4 linked regions of the Macaca mulatta genome follow. The protein of the gene in region 1 interacts with the protein of each later gene in a biochemical or structural test. Links are inferred from orthologs where the notes say so. Each region holds a gene or a part of one and is shown in the gene's direction. Other genes may lie near its edges.

Region 1 (5,769 bases):
GCTTTTCCCTTTGGAAAAAAATCAAAATGCTTTCTCTGCGCTTCTTGAAGCAATGACCCTCAAAAGCCCAGAGGTATTGGCCCCCTCAGGGGACCCGGGGGCCGCTAAGCAGGGTTCCCCCAGGTGGAGGCTGGACAGCTGGCGCTCCCCGCCGGGCCCCAAATTCCAGCGCCTCCCCCGCGGGTTCCTGGACGGCTCTTTACGCTCGCTAGCCGGGCTTGCAATTTTGCGCTCGTCCCTGAGCCGGGAAATCAACAAAGTTCCTAGCCTAGATCTGCCCGGTCCGCCTAGTAACAGCGCCGCGCCCCCATTGGCTCATGCTAATTCCAGTTTCCTCTGTCTTGCGCCCGGGATGGGGGGGTGAAGCTCCCTCCTGGACCCAGAGCCGGTTTTGCCGGAGTGGGCGAGCCTCTTTATGCCGTGCTGCCCCTAGCCGACTTCGGCCCGCTTCGCGCCTCGGGCTGGGCCAGGGCGCACGCGGGGCTCGGGGCCCCTCGACCCCCGGGGTGGGAGAGGCCGGGTGATAGCTCCGGGCCCCATAAATCATCCAGGCGGCCGCCGGGTCGGGATTTTATGAATGAAAAAGCAGCTGGGCCGCCCTCGTGCGCGGGCTGATGCTCTGAGGCTTGGCTATGCTGGGGCCAAAGCGATTATGGGTGCTCGGGGAGTGGGGGGGACACGACCGTGGGTGCTCCCTGCTGGGGCCACCCATCGCTCCCCATGCGGAATCTGGGGGTAATTACCCCCCAGGACCCGGAATATTAGTAATCCTAATTCCCGGCGGGGGAGGGGGCACGGGAGGAATTCACCCTGAAAGGTGGGGGGTGGGGGGGGTCGCATCTTGCTGTGAGCACCCTGGCGAAGGGGAGGGGACTTTTTCTATCCGTTTTCTTTGAGCTTTTACTGTTAAGAGGATACGGTGGTTTGATGACACTAAACTATATTCAAAAGGAAGTAAATGAACAGTTTTCTTAATTTGGGGCAGGTACTATTAAAATAACAAAAACAAAAGTTAAGACAGTAAAATGTCCTTTTATTTTTTAATGCACCAAAGAGACAGAACCTGTTATTTTAAAAACTATGTATTTTAATTTACATCTGCTTAAGTTTGCGGTAGTGGGGACCCTCTCATGAAACCACGAACACCTATCGATTTTGCTAAAAATCAGATCAGTACACTCATTTGTTTAATTGATAATTGTTCTGAATTATGCCCGCTCCTGCCAGCCCCCTCATGCTCACGAATTTAGTCCCAGGGCAAACTCTAAAGGTGAAGGGACGTCTACACCCCCAACAAAACCAATTAGGAACCTTCCAGTGGTCTTGTCCCAGGCTGAGGCGACTAATATTTCCAGCAATTTAATTTCTTTTTTAATTAAAAAAATGAGTCAGAACGGAGATCACTGTTTCTCAGCTTTCCATTCAGACGTGTGTTTCTCCCGGTTAAATTGCCGGCACGGGAAGGGAGGGGGTGCATTTGGGGATCCCCGCAAGGACCGACTGGTCAAGGTAGGAAGGCAGCCCGAAGAGTCTCCAGGCTAGAAGGACAAGATGAAGGAAATGCTGGCCACCATCTTGGGCTGCTGCTGGAATTTTCGGGCATTTATTTTATTTTATTTTTTGAGCGAGCGCATGCTAAGCTGAAATTCCTTTAACTTTTAGGGTTACCCCCTTGGGCATTTGCAACGACGCCCCTGTGCGCCGGAATGAAACTTGCACAGGGGTTGTGTGCCCGGTCCTCCCCGTCCCTGTATGCTAAATAGTTCTTGAAATTTACACGTGTTAATGAAAATGAAAGAAGATGCAGTCGCTGAGATTCTTTGGCCGTCTGTCCGCCCGTGGGTGCCCTCGTGGCGTTCTTGGAAATGCGCCCATTCTGCCGGCTTGGATATGGGGTGTCGCCGCGCCCTAGAGTCCCCCCTTCTCGTGGTCTCCCCAGGCTGCGTGTGGCCTGCCGGCCTTCCTAGTGGTCCCCTACTGCAGAGCCACCACCACCTCACCCCCTAAATCCCAGGGAACCCACTCGAGGCGGACGGGGCCCCCTGCACCCCTCTTCCCTGGCGGGGAGAAAGGCTGCAGCGGGGCGATTTGCATTTCTATGAAAACCGGACTACGGGGGCAACTCCGCCGCAGGGCAGGCGCGGCGCCTCGGGGATGGCTTTTGGGCTCTGCCCCTCGCTGCTCCCGGCGTTTGGCGCCCGCGCCCCCTCCCCCTGCGCCCGCCCCCGCCCCCCTCCCGCTCCCATTCTCTGCCCGGCTTTGATCTCTGCTTAACAACAGTAACGTCACACGGACTACAGGGGAGTTTTGTTGAAGTTGCAAAGTCCTGGAGCCTCCAGAGGGCTGTCGGCGCAGTAGCAGCGAGCAGCAGAGTCCGCACGCTCCGGCGAGGGGCAGAATAGCGCGAGGGAGCGCGGGGCAGCAGAAGCGAGAGCCGAGCGCGGACCCAGCCCGGACCCACAGCCCTCCCTAGCTGCCCAGGCAGAGCCCCAGCCATGGAACACCAGCTCCTGTGCTGCGAAGTGGAAACCATCCGCCGCGCGTACCCCGATGCCAACCTCCTCAACGACCGGGTGCTGCGGGCCATGCTGAAGGCGGAGGAGACCTGCGCGCCCTCGGTGTCCTACTTCAAATGTGTGCAGAAGGAGGTCCTGCCGTCCATGCGGAAGATCGTCGCCACCTGGATGCTGGAGGTGCGGGGCTTTGGGCGGCTCTCTTAAGACTTCCCTGCAACTTGTTGCCCAGACCCACGTTTCTTTGCTCCTCACCCCCCTCCCTTCTCTCCCGCTAGAACTTTGAAGTTTGCTGTGGTGTTGCTAGGGATCCGCATTTTAAAAATAAAAATTGTGGGTATTTTCTGAAGCAGGAAGGGGTGGGGGTGGGGGTGCTATAAGTTGCGTTTCGTGGGAGGGGAGAAGGGGGTTGGGGAGGGGTGCCGTCGGGAGAAGCCAGTGTCGGGGCACCCCAATGGGCCCGAGGGTGCGGGCTGGCAGGCTGAGTGCGCTTTGTGCCCCCCGCCTGCGCCCCAGCCCGGCTGCGCCTCCTCTCGCGGCCGCTGCGGCCGAGAGCCGCCAACTCCGGGGGGAGGGGGCATAGATTTGATTTTTAAATTAATATCCATGGACACGTATGCAAGGGCCGCTCGTGCCAGTATTATGCGCCATCTTTGCTCTTTTATTGCAAAGCAAAAGTGTTTATTAATAATTGGGGGCAGGGTGGGGGCGGGGAGCGGCCGCCGGGCGCTGGGGCCGCAGCTAGGGGCCGCGCGGCCGCCGGGAGCCCGCGGGAGGGGCGCAGGGACGCGGCATGGGGAGTTTTGGGGGGACCCCGCTCGGGAAGGGGGGCCCTTTGTTTAAGCAGCGAGTCCCGGGGCGCCCCAAATGGGCAGCCAGGGCCGGAGAGCACGCCGAGCTGCAAGGTCGCGTGGCCCCCAAGACGCCAGGGCTTGATCCCCGTCTGCAGGGATCTCGGCTTGGGGGACCTTCTCTGAGGGAGCCGGGGGCCTGGGAGCACATTTTCAGACCTTCGGTGGGCGCCTGAGGGGCCCGCAAGTATTTTTAAATAATTTTTGAAAGTGCGGCGTGGTGCCCTTGCGAGAGGGAAACGCCGCCCGCGCCCAGGGGGAAGGGGGGCCCCGGAGTTTGAATTCCTGGGGCTCCCCCCGGAGCCTGTAACGAACTCCCGACCCTCGGCCTGGGTAAAGGGTCGCCCGAGGGTCATTTTCAGGGTTTTTTTATGCACTTAGTTATTTTTTTAATATTTTTAAATATTTTTTGAAAAGATGACGTCTGGGGAAATGCGGCGCGGCGGCCTGGGACGCCACCTTTGTGTCTCGCAGGCGCGGCGCCCAACCCCGCGGCCCGTTCCGCGGCCCCGCACCCCAGTGGGTGTCGACCCTCAGTCAGAGGGACCACGGAGCTCCAGGGCGGGCCGGGGTCCCCAGGGCTGGCAGCCCGCGCCGCCGCGCACGCCGCCCAGCTGTGCCCGCTCCCGCCCCCACCGTGCCAGCCTCGCGGGGACTTTCCCTTTCAGTTTCGGGGAGGGTGGGTACTGGGGACGCGCGGGGGAGGGGGCGCATCACAGGAAGGTCCTTCCGCCCCCGGCCCCCACCCCTCGGCGCCCTTCAGAACTGGCGGTCCTGCCGAGCGCGATGGGGGGGTGCGGGGGCGGGGGTGGGGCGGCGCGACCTGGCGGCGGCGGTCACGGGCCCCGTGCCTCCGCAGGTCTGCGAGGAGCAGAAGTGCGAGGAGGAGGTCTTCCCGCTGGCCATGAACTACCTGGACCGCTTCCTGTCGCTGGAGCCCGTGAAAAAGAGCCGCCTGCAGCTGCTGGGGGCCACCTGCATGTTCGTGGCCTCTAAGATGAAGGAGACCATCCCCCTGACGGCCGAGAAGCTGTGCATCTACACCGACAACTCCATCCGGCCCGAAGAGCTGCTGGTAACCGCGGGACCCCGCCGCCCCCTGCCCCCCGAGAGTCGCACGCAGGATCACGGGGCCGGGGAAGGTGCAGGCAGTGGCGGCCGGCCCGCCTCTGGCATATCTGCTCCCAGGGAGGGCGGCCCCGCCGCCGGGCGTCCCTGTCCCGGGAGCGGGCGGGATCCTAGCCGCCCCCGTCCCACCGCCCCCAAGTCGCTTGCCTGCGACTCCCACCGCGTTCGCGCCCGGCAGTGTGGCCGAAAAGTGGGCGGCGCGCGCCCTCCAGCGGCTGCACGAGGAGCGCCGCGCTCCGCACTGAGCCTCCTGTTTCAGGTGGTGGGAGGTCTTTTTGTTTCCACTTGCAGAGTCTTTTCACGCAGCGGGCACCTTTTCTGTTTTGATCTGGGATCGCGTGTTGCCCCGGCTCCCCGATACCACCCCCATCATTCGCCAGCCCTCCCCTCCCACCTCCAGGACCGCACGAGACGCAGGAGCCAGTGCTCTGAGCCGGAGGTGCTGCATGGCCCCGGGCCCCCATGCTGCCGGCTTCCCCGCGCCCCCGGGCCGGCCCGCACCTCCCCTGATGGCCGCTCACCCTGTGTTCGCAGCAAATGGAGCTGCTCCTGGTGAACAAGCTCAAGTGGAACCTGGCCGCCATGACCCCGCACGATTTCATCGAACACTTCCTTTCCAAAATGCCAGAGGCGGAGGAGAACAAACAGATCATCCGCAAACACGCGCAGACCTTCGTTGCCCTCTGTGCCACAGGTAGGGTAGGCCCAGCAGCCCCCGGCCTCCGCTGGAGAGCCAGCTCCTTAGGTGACCCTGGCCGGCTTCTCGCTCTCCACCGGGGTGATGTCTGGGAAGATGTCCCTAGGCTCCCTCCTGCGCTGGGAAGCGCTCTTCCAGCTCTGGTGAGCAGAGGCCCTGGATTATTTGTTGTGCTGGATGGAAGGGGATTTGCTCCCTCACGGCCACCATGCAGTACCTTGGGCATCGGTGTGGACAGCTCGGCCTGCCTGTGTCCAGCTTCTGTGGCCTCATCCTCCAGGCCAGGCAGCCTGTGGCCACTCCATGCTCAAAGGGGTTTACCTTGGCTGCAGGGCCGCCTCCTTTCCCCACCCACCTCCAGCCCTTCTTGTGTCCTTAAGGAGCCTGAGCTGCAGGGCCCCCTCCTGGCCTCTCCCAGGCTGGGCCACCTGCCAGAGACGCCTCCAGGGGCGGGGAGAGCTGTTGGCCCGCCTGCACCACGTGCTCTGGGCAGCCGAGTGCAGGGGTGTCCAGCAGAGGAGCTCTGCTGCCTGAGGCCCTGCCAGGGGTGCTGCCAGCCAGCCGGGCTCAGCTGAGCCCT
Region 2 (5,958 bases), about 2.2 Mb from region 1:
GCTCCTGGGATGTGCGGGTTTAATAAGCTACTAGGTACCATCCTTGATCAAATTCAGAGTGACAGACTTAGAGCAGGTCACCTCTCGCCTTCTAATGAAGCCAAGACAGAGGAGTCCCCACAGCACTGGGTTTGACTCTGTAATTAAGCTGGTAAAGTGGAAAAATAAAAGTAGGAAACCTAAATGGAAACCAAACCAGAAAGCCAGGCAGCTTGGGAGTTCCGAGCCTGCTTCCTTCCAGCTGTGCGGCCTCCGCGGCTGACGCGGAGTCTCTGCTGATTTTCTCTAACACAGGATGATGGTAGCTACACCCTCTGAGGGGTGTCAGCAGGGCCAATTAGTCCTGATGGTTGGAGTGTGGGTATCCAGGCGCCACTAGGTCACTACCCACTCTGGCCCTTTGCTCCTAGTCTCTGGGGAGGTGGTGGCACAGGGGCATGGAGCAGACTAGACTCTGCCTCTTTCTGCCCCCAGGCCAGTTGATATGAGCCCTGCTTGATGGGTTCGCAAGGCCTGGGGAGCCTTCTTCAGCTTCTCTTTGTTTTCCTAAGATGAAAATTGTGACATCTGTGCTTGTTGAAGGAAATTTGTAAATTGTGCGCAGAGAAGAATATGAAATTAACATAAATTGTCGCGTTTGGTTCTGCCAAGAGCCAAGAGTGGCTCTGGCCCCTCTCCTGGGTTAACACCCTGTCCTGTCCAGTTCGCCCCCCTCACTTCAGATCTCTCTTCCCCAAGACCCAGAAGACCAGCCCTGCTCCCCCAGCTGCATCTGCACGATGTCACAGCATTTCATGGGGGTGGGGGTGTCTTGGGACTCAGAGGAAGGCTGGTTGGGGTTCAGGGGACCTCACCTTCCCTCCCTCCCAGATGTCTCTCTGGCTGGCTCACAGGCTCACCTGAGATAGGGGCTTAGAGCTCATGGGCTGCTGGACCCTCCAACAGGTGTCTGACAGTCCCCCTCCCGACCTGGGAGGCTCCCGGTTTCAGGAGGGGGCTTCCTGCCTCATGGTAAGTGGGTCAAAAGGGAGGCAGCGGGAAATAATGGTCTCTCTTGGTCTGGCCTGGCTGGGGTGAAGCACTGTGTGTGTGTGTGTGTGTGTGCGCGCGCGCGCGTGTGTGTGTGTGTGTGTGCGTGTGCGCACGACCAAGGTCTGTACCAGGAAGGGCTGCAGGCGGGGGAGGGGCATGCTTCTTCACAGCCCCTTCCCCTGTGACCTCGGGCAGATCTTTCACTTTTACCCAGTACAACTGCCTCCAGCTAGCCTGGACAGGCAGATTCCGGGGCTGGAGTGGTCCGGCCCAAGGCTGAGAAGGGCTGGGACCCCCGACAGTGACATGATGGGCTCAGCCTCTGTTCCATCTACTGGGCAGGGTGGACCTCCGCAGATAGCGGCTTCAGACTCCAGCTCCAGGGGGCTGGTGGGAGTCTCTCAAGGTGTCCCACACATGGTCCCACGGGGAAAGAGTGGAGCTGACCCCTGTCCTCCCTCCCGACTCGAGGGCTTTAGGGCCAGCAGGTGTGTGAGGGCTCCAGGTGCGCGGAGCCCTCGAAAGGACACCAGCCCAGCAGCAGCAGGCCGCGCGGGGGCAGCCGAAGACCCCATCCGGCGCAGGCCAGGGCCAAGCTGGCAGCGGCGGGTCCAAGCCCTGTCAGCTGGCGCAGGAGGCCCAGGGGCGAGCGCGGGACGGAGCTAGGAGCTGGGGTCCGGACCGGGCCGGGGTCGAGCTGGGCCTGGCCGGACACTGGACCCGCCGGGAGCCAGCCCCTGCCGCGCAGGGCTGAGGCCCCCGCCTGCAGACAAAGGAGCCGGCGGGGGGCGGGAGCGGGGGGGGGGGGTTTGCAGGGGGGATGGGGCGAGGGGGCGGGGCGTCGCGGTGTCACGTTACCGCCCGCAGCGCCCTTTAACTCCCGCCCCCGCCCCGCTCACCGCCCCCTTCCCCTGCTACAGCGCGCTCGCCCCGCGGCCGCCAATCAGCCGCGCGCCCCGGCCGCGCGCCCCGCCCCTCCCCCGGTGGGTGTGCGCGCGGCCAATGGGCGGTGCTCTGGGGCCGGGCCGCGGAGGGGCGGGGCAGCGGGGAGGCAGCCAATCGCCGCGGTGTTGTTGAAACTGAAAATACTACATTATGCTAATCGCGGCCGGGCCCGCGCGCACGGGGGTGGGGCCCGCGCGTATAAAGGGGGCCCAGGCGGGCTGGGCGTTCCACAGGCCAAGTGCGCTGTGCTCGAGGGGTGCCAGCCAGGTCTGATCCAGCGAGCGAGCCAGCAGGCATCGAGGGGGCGCGGCTGCCGGCCGAACGAGACAGACGAACCCGACGCAGGAGAGTCTACCACCGGACAGCCAGGTAGCCGCCGCGTCCCTCGCACACGCAGAGTCGGGCGGCGCGGGGTCTCCCTTGCACCCGGCCTCCGCCCTCCCCTCCTCTCCTTTCCCCTTCTTCTCGCTGTCCTCTCCTCTCTCGCTGCCCGCGTTCGCGCAGCCCCGGGCCATGTCCGACGCGTCCCTCTGCAGCACATCTACGATGGAGCGTCTTGTCGCCCGTGGGACCTTCCCAGTACTTGTGCGCACCAGCGCCTGCCGCAGCCTCTTCGGGCCGGTGGACCACGAGGAGTTGAGCCGCGAGCTGCAGGCCCGCCTGGCCGAGCTGAACGCCGAGGACCAGAACCGCTGGGATTACGACTTCCAGCAGGACATGCCGCTGCGGGGCCCAGGACGCCTGCAGTGGACCGAAGTGGACAGCGACTCGGTGCCCGCGTTCTACCGCGAGACGGTGCAGGTGGGGCGCTGCCGCCTGCTGCTGGCGCCGCGGCCCGTCGCGGTCGCGGTGGCTGTCAGCCCGCCCCTCGAGCCGGCCGCTGAGTCCCTCGACGGCCTCGAGGAGGCGCCGGAGCAGCTGCCTAATGTCCCGGTCCCGGCCCCGCCGTCCACCCCGCCCCCAGCCCCGGTCCTGGCTCCAGCCCCGGCCCCGGCTCCGGTTGCGGCTCCGGTCGCGGTCGCGGTCTTGGCCCCGGCCCCGGTCCTGGCCCCGGCCCCGGCCCCGGCCCCGGCTCCGGCTCCGGCTCCGGCCCCGGCCCCGGCTCCAGTCGTGGCCCCGGCCCCAGCCCCGGCCCCAGTCGTGGCCCCGGCCCCGGCCCCGGCGCCGGCCCCGGCCCCCGTCCCGGCCCCGGCCCCGGCCCCGGCCCAGGACGCGGCGCCTCAAGAGAGCGCCGAGCAGGGCGCGAACCAGGGGCAGCGCGGCCAGGAGCCTCTCGCTGACCAGCTGCACTCGGGGATTTCGGGACGTCCCGCGGCCGGCACCGCGGCCGCCAGCGCCAACGGCGCGGCGATCAAGAAGCTGTCCGGGCCTCTGATCTCCGGTGAGCCCCGCACGGCCCCGCCCCGGCCCGGCCCGGCCCCGCTTTGTCCGGCCGGCCGGTCCCCCCAGCCCTCGGGGGCCTCGCTGGGTTCCCGCCTCCTCCCGTGGCATTAAAGGGCCCGCAGCGCTCAGGGCGCGGCTGCGCCCGCACCCCCCTCCCCGCCCCGTTGTTATGTCCTCCAGCGGCTTTGCGCGGGCGGGGTGGGAGGCTGAGTCCCGGCCGCGACCCCCCGGGAGCGCGGTCTTCGCCCCTGGCGCGGGAGCCCCTCCCCGGGCGCGGCCGGGCTCCGTGAGCACGGCGCGGAGGGGGTTAAGCGCGGCGGCGGCCCCGGGGGGCTTGGCCGCGGGACAAGGGGAAATGCTTACACAGCACATTGCGCGGCGACGTAAACAAAGCTGACCCGCCGCGGACCTCGGCGCGGGCGGGGACGGCGCCCCCACCCCGGCCGGCCCGCGCCCCGTGCCCTCTCCTGGCCCCCTCTCGGGGCTCCGGGCCGGCCCCGCCCTGACCGGCCGCGCGCGCTGTCGCCCGCAGATTTCTTCGCCAAGCGCAAGAGATCAGCGCCTGAGAAGTCGTCGGGCGATGTCCCCGCGCCGTGTCCCGCTCCCAGCGCCGCCCCTGGAGTGGGCTCGGTGGAGCAGACCCCGCGCAAGAGGCTGCGGTGAGCGAAGTGAGTACAGCGCACCTGGGGGGTGCGGGGGGCTGACCCGCGGGGTCCCCGCCGGCTTTCCTGACCGCCCTTCTCCCCACAGTTTAGAGCCCAAAGAGCCCCGAGGGAACCTGCCGGGGCAGCGGACGTTGGAAGGGCGCTGGGCCTCGGCTGGGACCGTTCATGTAGCAGCAACCGGCGGCGGCTGCCGCAGAGCAGCGTTCGGTTTTGTGTTTAAATTTTGAAAACTGTGCAATGTATTAATAACGTCTTTTTATATCTAAATGTATTCTGCACGAGAAGGTACACTGGTCCCAAGGTGTAAAGCTTTAAGAGTCATTTATATAAAATGTTTAATCTCTGCTGAAACTCAGTGCAAAAAAAAAAGAAAAAAGAAAAAAAAAAGGAAAAAATAAAAAAACCATGTATATTTGTACAAAAAGTTTTTAAAGTTATACTAACTTATATTTTCTATTTATGTCCAGGCGTGGACCGCTCTGCCACGCACTAGCTTGGTTATTGGTTATGCCAAAGGCACCATCCATCTCCCACATCCGGTTATTGACAAGTGTAACTTTATTTCCATCGCGGACTCTGGGGAAAGGGGTCACTCACAAGCTGTAGCTGCCATACATGCCCATCTAGCTTGCAGTCTCTTCGCGCTTTCGCTCGCTCTCTTATATTACTGTGTTTATCTTAAACTTGAAGACAAATCTGTTAAAATGGTTCCTGAGCCGTCTGTACCACTGCCCCGGCCCCTCGTCCGCCGGGTTCTAAATAAAGAGGCCGAAAAATGCTGCAACTCCAGTCTGTTTGTGCTTGTGCCTGCCTCCAGCTCCCTTCTCCTGCACCCCCAAAAGCTGGAGAGCTAGAACGCAGGAGAGAGCAGGCCAAAGTGGGCATCCCCAGTCCATCCAAAAGGGGAAGCCTCTCTCCTGGCTGGGCCTGGCCCAAATCCACCTGCTCCAGTTCCCTTATCTCAGGAGGGGCGGCCGGCCTGCAGTGCACCCTGCATTTATCACCTCCCACCTGCGGGGCTGCAGAAAGACAAGCGTGGGCTTCACATAGCCCCAGCAGGCAGGGAGCACAGCCCCTGACTTGCTGCCCAGACTCAGGCTTGTTTAAAGGAAACCATGAGAAACCCCTCTGCCCCCAGCTGATGGGCTCAGGACCCTGCTAGTTTGAGGATGTGCTGGGGTGGAGGGTGGGGAGCAGGACTCCACCAAGACACATCCAGTCCTACAGACTTTTCTTCAGGCCTTGCACCAGGGTCTCCCTAGGTCTTGCCACAAAACACCCAAAATGTTCAAGGTCTAGTCACACCTGCAGTGGAGGGGGGCAGCCTCGAAGCCTCTGAGGAGAGGGAGAAATGAGAACACAAAGGGGTGGTGCCCTGGAACCAGGAGGGCATGGGGAGGGGTGGTTTCTGATGACCAGGCTTTGGTGGAAGAAGTCGAGGCTGTGTGCCTCCCTGTGCACCCACACTGGGCCCTACCAGCCGACTAGTTTCAAAGCGCTCCCTCTTGGTAAAAGAGACGTTTATTATTTTTTTAATAGCTGACCTATAAACCTCTGAAAATTATGGCTTACAATGGAAAGGGTGACGTAAAATAGCAAAAACAGAACAGCTAGCAGTGTTTTTGCTGGTGCCTTGGGCTAGGAGAAGAAAAGAGCTGGTGGACCCTCATGGGGCCCTACGTGACAGTTGCTGACTTCCCTCCCCGCCGGCCCCGCACTGGGTCAGGGACAAAGGGGGGGCTCAACTTGAGATGCTCGAGATGTATTTAGACATATAATTAACTGAGCCTCCCCCAGCTGCCTGGAAGGGCTGGGCAAGGAGGGCGAAGGGGCTGGCCTCGAGGCCCAGCTGGGGCCAGACTCTGGGAAATGCCCCTGGGACCTGAGAGTGGCAGGTCCCGCTGCTTTGTCTCAGCAACAGGGACCCTCAGCC
Region 3 (5,903 bases), on another chromosome or scaffold:
TTTTGTAAACTAACTTTTTTCCTTTATCAGTATATCAAGATTATTTTCCGACATCATTTGACATTTTTTTCTACAGTGTAATTTAATGGCTACATTTTTTTCCTATCCTATGAATATATCAAACTATTTCTTGAAAACCCTACTCAGGAATTTAAAAAAATAAAAATGATGTTTTAATATTATAAAGATCCAGTGAGGTATATTCTTATATATACACATTTTTAAGGTTTGAGTTCTTACAAGATGCTGAACTAGCTGAGACTACTGGTTCTCACCTGTCACATCTGGAAAAATTATAGAAGGAAAACATCAAGATTTGGAAAAATCTGCGAGAATTGTTTTGCATTAGTGTGTAGGTGTGTGTGTTGGGGTGGTGGCTGCAGCTTGGGGCAGAGGCCTCAGATGTGGCTGTGGAGTGATTGAATAGAGTTTTTGGAGTTTGGCTTTTGTCCCAGGACATTTGGTGTCTGTCCCCAGAGCTGCAGCCCAGAAGGTTGTCCTCAGAGGCGAAGTCCAGGCAGTGAGGAGCTGTCTGCCAGTAGGCAGTTGAAGAAAAAAAAAAATGACCTGGGGAAAAAAAAAAAAATCTTCCACTAATGCTGCCAGGCTGCAGGGAGCTGGAAATGAAGCACCAACAGGAGTGGGTATTTAATGGGGAAGGGAATGATCAACTGCAATTTTTTTGGTACCCAAGACTTTCCACCTTCACACACACACGAGATGCTTTGAAATAAAGATAGTCAAATGACTTAGTAAAGTTTGTTGACATAAAAATATGGGAAATACCAAAGAATATAGAAAGGAAAACTTCATTAATATTATTCAAACTTAAAATTCTAGATTGTATCAACAGTAAGGGGGTTGATGAAAACATGGGAGAAGGCCAAGGGATGTGAGATCGGGCTCAATTCTTGACTTGCTGGGGAAAGGTATCAACACAGAACTTTTAAGAATTAGAAGGCATTAAAAAGAAATAGAAATCCTGAATCAAATTGAAACAGTAAAATAAAATAGTAGAAAGATGTGTAAATGTATCACTATCACAATAACTATAAATAGGTTAAATTTGCCAGTTGAAAGAAAGGAACTATTAAATGAGATTTAAAAAATTTGGATATATGCTTTTCGTGTGAACATACCTAAAGCATATACACGTAACCAGAAAATTAAAAGATGGAAAAATCTGCAGAGAGTGACAAAGGAAAGCTGGTGCATTTGTATTAGTATCAGATAAAGCTCATGTTTAGATAAAAAACATTATAGTAATAGAGGAAGTCAAAAGGTTAAAGTTTCAATTCACCAAGAAATATCCATTCTAAACATGTATACATACCCAATTAAGCTGCCTCAAAATATATATGACAAAAATTTAGAGAATTGTAGAGTCAGATATAAGGATTGAAAAGGAAGAAATGAAACTAATTATTTTCAGATGATATATACATTTACATAAAAAACTCCAAAGAATCTTCAGATAAATTATTAGAAATTGTAGGAGAGCTCAGCAAGAAGGCAGGATATAAAATTAATATACAAAAGTCAATGTCATTTCACTATACCAGAAAAAAGACAATAACATTAGAAAATAAATCTAACATAAGATGTAGAAAAACTTATTAGAGGCAAAATTTTCTTGAGAAATATTAAAGAAGATCTAAATAAGTAGAATTACATCATATTCATGCATAAGAAGGCAACATTTTGAAGATGTCTTGTTATATATAGGCCTAGGAATAATATAGTTTTAAGTTATGTTATTTTGAACTGTAGGTGAAAGAAAGCTCTTTTTTTTCCTTTGAGTATTTTAAGATTTTGAATAAAGTCATAGTGCTCTAGGAAGGTTGTAATATTTTATACTTCGCCAGCAGTGTTTGAGAATGCTTACTTCCTACATTATAACCACCATAAATATTTAAAACCTGATAGCACACAGTTTTAAAAATTTGAAATTCTCCAATTAACAGTGACCTTTAAAAATTATGTTTACTGGTCTCCATTATTTTGTCCTTTGTAAATTTTTATTAGTTTTTCTGTTCACATGTTCCATTTTTAAAATAGACTTTTAAGAGCTGTTTGTATTAAGAATATTAAGGCTTTGTCCCTATAATTAGTATTTTTCAGAATATCCTTTCTAGGTACAGTTTTTCAGTTCTAGTGCACAGAATGGAAACTTGTTACCTGCTATACCACATTTTCACTAGGATGTGATGTATTTATCACAAACAACAGTATTGGTCAACATTTTCCCTCGCTGTGAAGTGCACATTTGACATCCTTTAGAAAAATTACTGACGGTTTTGAGACGATTGTTTTGTGCTTTCTTTCAGTCAACGTAATTTTCCCGAAAGCAGAGATGACTCTTCCAGACATGCTAACAATGCCTGAACAAACTGTGTAAGCTTAGTCCAAAAAAAATATTTGATTAATAGATTTTATTTTGGTAGATTCTAAGGTTCTAAGCAGTCAGAGAAATAATCGCAGAGCCTCAAATATCTCCAAAATCTGATACCAATCCCTTTGATTGTGAATTATATTCTGTAGCTACCAAAGAAGGTAAGTTTTAATTTTTTCTACTCTATTAACTTTCTCTTGGGCAACTGAATATTAAGATGACTATGTAAGGAGGTTATCAGACCAAGGCCTCACACATCAGGATAAAAGCACATGCCATAGAAAGAACATTTGTGTCTCACAAGGTGATACCAAGGCAAGGCTATGGGATATATATGGGCACAATGTTGATATCTTCAAAGACTTAATACATAGTCTGGAGGTTTTCAGAGATTTTAATTTATAATGACAATCTTTCAAATTAGGAGAATTTTTGGACTGTAAAGTTAGCCAAACAAGTCTTCAATGATAAAAAACGTCTATATCTTACACAGGGGGAATACATTTTTTGTTCGTTTTAATTTTTTCTCTGTCTATTCATACAGGGGCATCACATGTCTTTATCATTAAAAACTCTGATTTAGATAGACAGTTGTAGAGAAATTTAATGTGTGAGAATTTAAAGTTGTTTTATAAAGATGTAGCAAAATACAAATTTAAGACCCACAGCACCAATGAAAAAGGGAAATTAATTAAACTAGACAACTTTTATGGGTACTACCCATTAAAATTAAAATTTTAGTCATTGTAAATTATATTACATTGTAACAGTTTTCAATCTGTTGTCAAGTTGAATATTTTGGTTGACAATTGTATTTCACAGTTGTTCACACTTTGCATAATTTTCTAAGGAAAATGAGTCCCTTGGGGAGAAAATTGTTCTAAAATTTTGTTGTTGGATAATGTTGCTGCACTAACATGATTTGCTGAAGTGGATCTACCATGTGTGTTTAGGTTTTTGTTCTTTACGAAATGTGTTGGGTGAAATTTTCCATAACACTGGTGAACTTTTCATGCTAATTTTCCAGTCCGTCAGTTTAAATATTATGCATTTTTTCCTGCGAATCTATCTTGAATCTGAAAAGGCCCCAGAAGGAATTAGCATGAGTCCAGAGTAGATGGACTGCAAATGTTACTCATATTTCAACATGTATCCAGCTTTCAGAAATAGCTTACTGAAATCAAGGTTGAACCACATGAAATTTTGGGGTTTTTTTGGATGTAAAAAAGGTTAAATATTGACATTTTCATATCATCCAATCTAATATCTTCCTCTAGTGAGGTTCTGGCAAAAAAAAAAAAAAAAAAAAAGTATGATGACCCAAGTTGTTCACTCTTTTAAGCTTTATATTTCAAAATATTTTTAAAATTTAAAGCCATATAAGTGCATCCCAAAAAACATGGGAAAATTTTGTAGGCTACTTTTGTTTACTGATTTTTCTTCTATAGATTTATTTTTATGCTATGCCTGACTCTCCAATTAGATTTTAGTCATCCAGGAAAGTACAATTGCTTGTACTTCTAAGCAATTCTCCCATCACCTGGACATTAACTGCAGCCCACACTGCAGTGTCTTGACTGCAGTAGGCACTCAGTAAATATTTATTGATGGTCCTGATTATGGGATGATGAAATATGCTAAAGGTAACTTAAACTTTTGTCAATAAAACTGAGTTTCAGGTTAGTTTGACCTTTTCCGTATCTCTAAATATTTTCTTTCATGTCATTTTTGTGAAATAGCTCACAAAAGTACTTATTGATTCTGAAATCCTTTTCCCCTCTGGTATTCCTGAGCTATTCTCACACACAGCACACCAGTGCCACCGTTTGCTGTTTTGGTTAAAATCATTCTCATTAATATTCCTCATTCAGTAAAAATAGTTGATTCTCAGTTATAAATATACACTTCATATTGGCAATGTGGGATGGAAAACAAAATGATGATATTGACTCCATAAGATAAACAGCAGTCTTTAGAATAGAGTTTGGTGCATAACTGTTCTAAATGTATCAAAGTTATCTCATTTAATCCTCCCACACACCTGTGGGAAGAGAGTATTTGTCTTGCTTTACAGATAAGGAAGCTGAGGCTTAGAAGATTCATATGTCTAACTAAGATCACAGAGCTGGTAAATCAGCCAAGTTTGAGTCTAAATCCAGGTTTTAAATATCATATTACATGTAGGCATAGATAAGCAAGAACAGGTTTTCCTGAAGATGGCCAGGCTAAGGCTTAGAAGAAGGAAGCTCAAGGAGACTAAACCAAGATATGCTAAGGCAAGTTTTTTTGTTTGCTTGTTTGTTTTTGAGACCGAGTTTCGATCTTGTTGCCCAGGCTGGAGTGCTGTAGCATGATGTTGGCTCACCACAACCTCCGCCTCCTGGGTTCAAGTGATTCTCCTGCCTCAGCCTCCCGAGTAGCTGGGATTATAGGCATGCACCACCATGCCCAGCTAATTTTGTATTTTTAGTAGAAACGGTGTTTCACTATGTTGGCCAGGCTGGTGTCGAACTCCTGACCTCAGCTGATCCGCCCACCTCAGCCTCCCAAAGTGCTGGGATTACAGGCATGAGCCACTGCGCCTGGCCTGCTAAGGTAAGTATTAACCATTAGAGATGACTAGTCCCAGTGACAGGTCTTTCCTACTGGGAGTCAGCCAAGAGCTCCCCACTTTTCTGGTTCCGTTGTTCCTCCTGCAAAGTTCCATTCATAAAGTGGTTTCCCATTTGATTGTCCAATGATGCAAATCTCCAGTCCTTTATAGCATTGAGTTTCTCATGGCCTTTTACCGTTGAGTTTCTCATGGCTAATGAATGCTAATGAATTGGTGTTCCCATTTATCTATAGGATTCCATGAGTCAGCCTCTAAAAGAAGGTTCCACTCCCTCACTGTGGGTACCGTCTGGGAATTAGACCCTTAATAGGAGTAATTCACCAAGCAATGTCTTCTGTAATAACGCTCCAGTCTCACTGAGAGCTTTCTATTCAAAACAACAATCTAAAGGTCTACAGTGTGACTTTCAACTAAACTGAAAAAAGAATAGAAAATGAATGTATGTGATGTACACATTCATTCAACTTCTTATCCCTAAAATTCATAGCAGATTATGACTGATCATTAAAGCCAAATTAAGGAGGCAAAAGGTATAAAACAAAAGGAACTATCAGGCATAATAGTCTTTAAAGTAAAACATTACTACTGACAGTTGCTTGTGTGAAAGATATCTTTATTTAATATGGTAAAAAGAACACAGGAATTGCTGGCACTTACTGTATGTCCATTTTATGTCCATCTTAAAATAGATATGCTGGTATAGTCATCAGATTAGCACTTTAGAATTCAATAGTTTCAGAGAAATCAGAATGGACATTCTTTACATGTGCTCATCTGGCAGGAGAATTGAACAAATCCTTTCTATAGGAAAACGTAAAATTCCTAATAACTCCACAGGACTGTATGACTTGGGCTGGCAACTTCAGTGAATACAGCAGAGTTTGGGCAATGGGAAAG
Region 4 (5,941 bases), on another chromosome or scaffold:
GCAACTTCAGAATATCTGATATGTGGTATGAAAGTATTGGTTGGAGTCATTATTCTTGAGTTCTATATATTAATTCTCAGAAGACTCCTAAACAAAGAAGTTGGAATTTGGTTCACAGTTTAAAAACTTTGAACAAATTTTCTTATGATAACCTGTTACCCACAGCAGAAGTTACCCATAAACAAAAATAATCTGGTATTTACTAATTTCATACAATCAGTTGTAAAAACTTCCTTGGGTCTGAAGCTTTCACCAACTGGGATTTAATGTGAACCATAACCAGGGAGAGTGAACAACGATAAATTAACATAAAAGATAGCAATATCAGGAAAAGAAGAGGACAGAGAGTTAACACTCAGTATTAACATATATAATTAAATAAAGTTTCATTGTTTTTTACATTGTCCAAATGATCTAGTAACCTAAATCATGGAATTTCTGATCTAGCAATGGCTGTTGTCAAATTCAGTAATTAAAACTTCAACCCAGTGTAGAAAAGACACTTCTCTGTTCATTTAAAAGATATTTGTAGCTTATTTTTTTTTTAAATAAGTGATTTATTCAAATAAATTCTAGCCATGATGTGCTGGTTCCTATTTACTGGCAATTATTTCTGGATTATATAAACGTGTTAATTACCATCAAGTAAACCTTGTTTTAAAAGGCAAATGGTAAGTGTGAACAATTATCCAAATGGAGGATTCCCATTTGTGTCTCTGGCTTAAAGTCTAGTGATTTGTAGTGATCTAATATTTTATGTAAATATAAAATCTAATGATTTGCCTTATTAAATTTATAAGATATATGAGATTATAGATAGCTTTATAAATACAAATTTTGTTCAGAAAACTGGATCTTATTTTAGAAGACATGCTCTTAACACAAATGTATTTTATGAATTATCTTAAGCTTAAAGACATACAATTATTCACTTTTATTTTTAAAGAAAAAAATATTATAATGCATTGCAAAATATGTGCTACTGGAAATGCATCAATTTTTTATTTCCCTAGCCTTACCTTATACTATAATATAGAATCAATTTTATAAAGGCAAAAATTTGATTTACTATGAGATCAGTAACATGGTTTTAAAGTCAAAAGATTTATAGAAGTAGTATGTCCAATTCAAACAGAATTTTGCCGGGTTTTAATTTTTCTACAAAGCACTGAAGTAAATAATTTTGTGAAAAGTTTTTCTTTAATATGTTTTAAAGGGTTTCAAGTATTCTACAGATAGAGATTTTGGGGAGAACACCAAATTCTTTCCAAAAAGACAGCTATTTCAAGTTTTCTTTTACTCCATTGTAGAAGGTTTTAAAGACTTTTTTTCTCCAAAAGCTCATTTTCACCTGAAATAATTGTATTCAAGGGTTTCTCAGCAGGTAAAGTATACATTCTTACAAGGTTTCAAATTTCAGATTTCCAATAATGCATTTAAACTGAGCACTCCTCTTTCTGTGTATGTATCTATTATCTGCAGTTCTATTATTTACACTAAATTTTAGTCTTTTTAGCTCCTCTGAAATACGTTAGTGAACCCTCAGCAGTTACTAACCACTTAATAATTGTGAACCCGCCAGCCCCTTCAAGTAGATCGTTAACCATAAGAGTGCCTGACAATTTCCAAACCATACCCTCTGTCTAAAAGGAAAAGATAGGGCTTTGTGAGGCAGAAAGGAAGCGAAGGAAAACAAAACAAATGTAGCTCATGCTGAAAGTGAAAAGTGCTTGAACAGATTAGTATTTTCTTTTCTGCAAGGCATCCTGCCAAACTTTTTCTTTATTTTTTTAAGAGAAGAGTTATTTTTTGGTCTGATTTTTCAGTTTCTTGGAAAGTATTGGTATTTACCACCCCCATCGGCCCTTCATAATTATTGTTAGTTGTTTTGTGTTTTTCCCATCCGTCCACGTCACACAGTGAGGATACCCCCTGCTTCACCCTGTCAAAACCCCAACTCTGGGCGACCCTGGGTTTGGAAACTCCGCCGACTCCCGACGACACGTCCCACTCTCTCCCACTAACGCCGCTTATTTTAGTCGCAGGATCCCCCTACTACAGTTTCAGTGAAAGCCGGAAATTTTCATTTAACTCCCCTGCCCCCCCAACCCCCCCGCCCCGCGCCTTTCTAGCCCCCGACTCGTAGAAGGGAGCTAGGGAGCCCGGAGCTCGGAGCACTGCCGGGGCTTGGCCGCCTCCTTTCTCTCCGGAAGGCTTTAATTTGCACACTTTCTTGCCACTGCGCCACGAGCCCCCAGCCTCGCCGCTGGGTGGGTCTCCGGCAGAGTTGGCTTCTCGGGTCCCTGCCCCCACCCCGCGCGGTCGCCCCCGCTGCCTCCCTGGCTGGGGCCCCCAGCGCCGGCCAGAGCCCCGCGGCCCCCGTCCGCCCCCAGCTAGCGGCGCGGGCGGCGCCCTCCGCCTTCCCTCCGCCCTCCGCCGCTGTGCCCACCCCCTCGCCGGAGAGAGTGCTGGTAACTCCTTCCCCAGAGTCTGATTACCTGCTCCGCGAGGCCGCGGACACGTGCGGAGAGCCGACTGACACTCGCAGCCCCCTCAGGAGGCCCGACGCGACTGGGCCCCTCAGGTGAGGAGCTGTGCGCTCGGGTGGGTGGGCTGCGGGGTGGGGGGTCCCTGGGGAGATATGGGGGATTGGCCGGGGTCCGAGGCAGAACTGTGGGTGGGGTAAGTGGAGGCTGGCGGGGGGTGGGGGGGACCTGTGTTTCCCTGGAATCGGCTTTGGTTAACCCCTTACGAACTGAGACGGCGTTGGTTATGGGGGCCAGTTTTGGGGAGCTAGAGGATTCTAATCTGACGAGAGGGGGAGATCCTACGCTAGGGACACCCGCGACACCGAGATCCTGCTTCCACGTACCCGTGCGCACACACACTCACACAGAACACTCCTCATCCAGTTTCTCCAAACGGAACTGGAACTCTACTCGGACATTCACATAATAATTCACATTTAGGGTTCAAAATGCACTGCCTCTAGGGACTCCATGCTGGAGAATGTGCTTGCATTTCCCCCACGAAAACTCCCTCGCCAGCTCGCTGAGGTGTGGGTGTGGGCTCCACCTTCCCCTCCACGAGATAAATGTTAACGCAGGCTTCCTGCGGGCGTGTTATGCACAGAAGAGTGCACGCAGCCGGCCGGTGCCCAGGCTTGGAGCCCCACGAAGACGCACGTTTGCTTTAGTTTCCAAGTTTACTTTTATCATTTAAAATATTGGAGTTAAACACACGCCCCGTGGTGAGCAGCCCTTGTCCCCGCAGGGCGCCCGTCCGTGTGCATATGGGCGCATCTGCGTGTGCGCACACGCGGGAGTCGCGGTCCCCGGTGTGGCCTCTTGTTGCCGTGCTGGTGGCGACCCTTGTGGTGCTTGGCAGGCTTCGGGAGAGGCGCATGAAGGATTTCATTGAGTGTGAAGACAGAGAGCAGAGACAGAAAGCAGAAGGAGGCGGCTGCAGCCTTTGTAGTCGCGGAGGAATGCGGAAATGTTGAAGCACTATGTCAAACTTTTTTTGAAATGGGGTCAAGTCACATTCAGCCAGCGTGGGAAAGCAACAACAACAACAAAAAAAAAGTGGAGGAGAGGGGGGGAAAAGGCATTGCTGCTCCCGTTTCTCTCCGCCGAAGCCGACCGTCTGGGGGGCGAGTGGGGGGAGAGTCAGGGTAGTGCGGGGCCCGGCGGGGGCAGCAGGCGAAGTTCCCTGCGGGGGTGGGACGTCCCCGACGCTTCCTTCGCTGCGGAGCCCGGGGCTAGACTCGAGCGGGAGGGGGATGGGGGGACGCAGGAGAGGCGGGTTGGGCGGCCGGCGGCGGCTCCCCGGCTACCTGTGTGGCCCTCGACCTGGCTCAGACGCCCGGGCAGTCCTTGGGGGCTCTTTCCTCGGCTTTTAAGGAAAGTTCTGAATGGAGTGAGTGCCAGAAGCACTGCTTTCGCCGCGGTCCGCTCCACGCGCTCATCGTGGGGGTCGCGCCGTTTGTTTAATTCCTGGCAAAAGGCGAGCGGGGCAGCGGTTGCGAGGCAGGTAATTCCGAGGTGCCCCGGGAATTCCGGACACGCGGCCAGCGTGGTGAAAGTCCTGCCGAGGCCGCGGCGGCCGTGGGGGAGGGAGGCTCCCTAGGTCCCAGATAGCTGCTGAATGGGGAGGGAAAGTTAGGGTACCCTTCTCCGGCGCTTTGTTATGCAGAGGGCTCCGGGGGCGTCCGGCTGCAGCCTGGACCCGGCCTTTAGCCGGAGAGGGAATGGGGCAGCCACCTCCGCTACCTACAGCGGGGTGGTCCTGGGAGTGGGAAAAGGTTCGCGAGTCCGGGCCCCGAGGGCAGAGACCTTGTTTCTCACCCCTGGAGGCGCAGGGTTTAACCCCCCACCCCCCACCCTTTGAAAGAGAGGTTGAGTTTTGCTCAGGTCGAAATCAATTTAAAACTTCAGGACGAGGCGCGATTAAGCTATCCTCTTCCTGAAATTATTCTTTAAGAAGACGACAAGCGAAATTGTGACGAACACCCCTTTCTCCCACCCTTGGGATCCCGTGGGGGACAGTGTCTCCCCTCCCCCAGGACCTCTCGTTCGCCCACCCCCGATTAGCCCCAACCCTCCCCGACCAGATGGCTGGTCTTCCCAAGGTTTCCACCAGGGAGGTCCTCCCAGTCGGAGAGAGAATTCCGTTTCCAACCGAGACTCCTTTACCCCAAAGAGACCATTTGTGTATGCGAGTCGTTTTTAAATGTCTCCTCGTAGAAAAACTGAAAGTAGAAAGAAAGGAAGCAATTTCTGAGCAGATGTCTGACCACCCCTTCTCGCACACTCACAGCATCGGGTTACAGGGTCCTGGGAGCCCCCACCCACATTCTGCGGCCCCACACGGATGGACCCACAGTCCTTCCGCTCCAGCTTGTGCGCGACCCTTGAACGCCCTCCGGCACCCCTGGACCCCATCTCCCTGCACGTCCGGGCCTCAGGAGGCGGGGAGGGTAGCGACGCAACACAATGATATAGGGATAAATATTAAGCCGTGACATTGACGTGCCCGGCGCCTCCCCTCCCCCGCGCTCCCGGCACACTCTGGGCTGCTCGGCACGCCCCCTCCCGTTCCACTGCGTCCCGCGCCGCTCGCTCATCCCCGAGGGGCCCCTGCAACCTCTCCGCGCGAAGACGGCTTCAGCCCTGCAGGGAAAGAAAAGTAACTTCGCTTTTCTCGGAGGAACCAGGAAGGATTAAGCGGCTTGGGAGAGGGCAGGAGCGCGCGGAGGGTAGCGATGGAGGCTTCGTAAAGGAGGAGGAGGGGAGTCTGGAGGAACCCCGAGGAAGGCTTCTGGGCTGTCTGATTGCACTTTCTTCTTATCCTCCCGTCTCCTCCTTTAGGTGCAATGATTCTGGACTGAGACGCCCTTGGGCAGAGGCTATGTAATCGTCTCTGTCTGTGCTGAGGACTTCGCTTCGGGGAGGGAAGAGGAGGGATCGGCTCGCTTCTCAGGCGGCGGCAGCAGCGACTCTGCAGGCGGAGTTTCGCGGCGGCGGCACCAGAGTTACGCCAGCCCCGCGGGGAGGTCGCTCCATCCAGCCTCCGCAGCCGCGAGAGCCCCAGCGCCCGAGCGCCTGAGCCAGCAGGGAGCAAGGAAAGCTAGACCAATCTCCGGGGAGCCCCGGAGTAGGCTAGTGGCGGCCGCCAGCTAGTTGAGCGCACCCCCCGCCCGCCCCAGCGGCGACGCGCCGGGCGGCGTCCAGGCGGCATGGAGAAGGACGGCCTGTGCCGCGCTGACCAGCAGTACGAATGCGTGGCGGAGATCGGGGAGGGCGCCTATGGGAAGGTGTTCAAGGCCCGCGACTTGAAGAACGGAGGCCGTTTCGTGGCGTTGAAGCGCGTGCGGGTGCAGACGGGCGAGGAGGGCATGCCGCTCTCCACCATCCGCGAGGTGGCGGTGCTGAGGCACCTG

Evidence for each region. The genes of interacting proteins can lie anywhere in the genome.
Region 2: the proteins of CCND1 (region 1) and CDKN1C form a complex in vitro, tested with the Homo sapiens proteins (2 studies listed by BioGRID). The link is inferred for Macaca mulatta from reciprocal best matches to the Homo sapiens genes CCND1 and CDKN1C.
Region 3: the proteins of CCND1 (region 1) and ESR1 form a complex in vitro, tested with the Homo sapiens proteins (2 studies listed by BioGRID). The link is inferred for Macaca mulatta from reciprocal best matches to the Homo sapiens genes CCND1 and ESR1.
Region 4: the proteins of CCND1 (region 1) and CDK6 form a complex in vitro, tested with the Homo sapiens proteins (3 studies listed by BioGRID and IntAct, with this or other methods). The link is inferred for Macaca mulatta from reciprocal best matches to the Homo sapiens genes CCND1 and CDK6.

The regions. Positions count from the first base shown.
Region 1 is NC_133419.1:5,014,380-5,020,148, reverse strand, and holds the start of CCND1 (G1/S-specific cyclin-D1), read left to right. Parts: upstream 1-2,291; 5' UTR 2,292-2,495; coding exon 2,496-2,693; intron 2,694-4,223; coding exon 4,224-4,439; intron 4,440-5,026; coding exon 5,027-5,186; coding exon of another isoform or gene 5,187-5,216; intron 5,217-5,769. UniProt on the Homo sapiens protein: Regulatory component of the cyclin D1-CDK4 (DC) complex that phosphorylates and inhibits members of the retinoblastoma (RB) protein family including RB1 and regulates the cell-cycle during G(1)/S transition.
Region 2 is NC_133419.1:2,789,701-2,795,658, reverse strand, and holds CDKN1C (cyclin-dependent kinase inhibitor 1C), read left to right. Parts: upstream 1-2,475; 5' UTR 2,476-2,490; coding exon 2,491-3,358; intron 3,359-3,892; coding exon 3,893-4,023; coding exon of another isoform or gene 4,024-4,028; intron 4,029-4,110; 3' UTR 4,111-4,115; coding exon of another isoform or gene 4,116-4,252; 3' UTR 4,253-4,809; downstream 4,810-5,958. UniProt on the Homo sapiens protein: Potent tight-binding inhibitor of several G1 cyclin/CDK complexes (cyclin E-CDK2, cyclin D2-CDK4, and cyclin A-CDK2) and, to lesser extent, of the mitotic cyclin B-CDC2. Negative regulator of cell proliferation.
Region 3 is NC_133409.1:70,390,409-70,396,311, forward strand, and holds the start of ESR1 (estrogen receptor), read left to right. Parts: upstream 1-2,420; 5' UTR 2,421-2,553; intron 2,554-5,903.
Region 4 is NC_133408.1:126,534,058-126,539,998, forward strand, and holds the start of CDK6 (cyclin-dependent kinase 6), read left to right. Parts: upstream 1-2,458; 5' UTR 2,459-2,584; intron 2,585-3,237; exon of another isoform or gene 3,238-4,032; intron 4,033-5,095; exon of another isoform or gene 5,096-5,257; intron 5,258-5,369; 5' UTR 5,370-5,737; coding exon 5,738-5,941. UniProt on the Homo sapiens protein: Serine/threonine-protein kinase involved in the control of the cell cycle and differentiation; promotes G1/S transition. Phosphorylates pRB/RB1 and NPM1.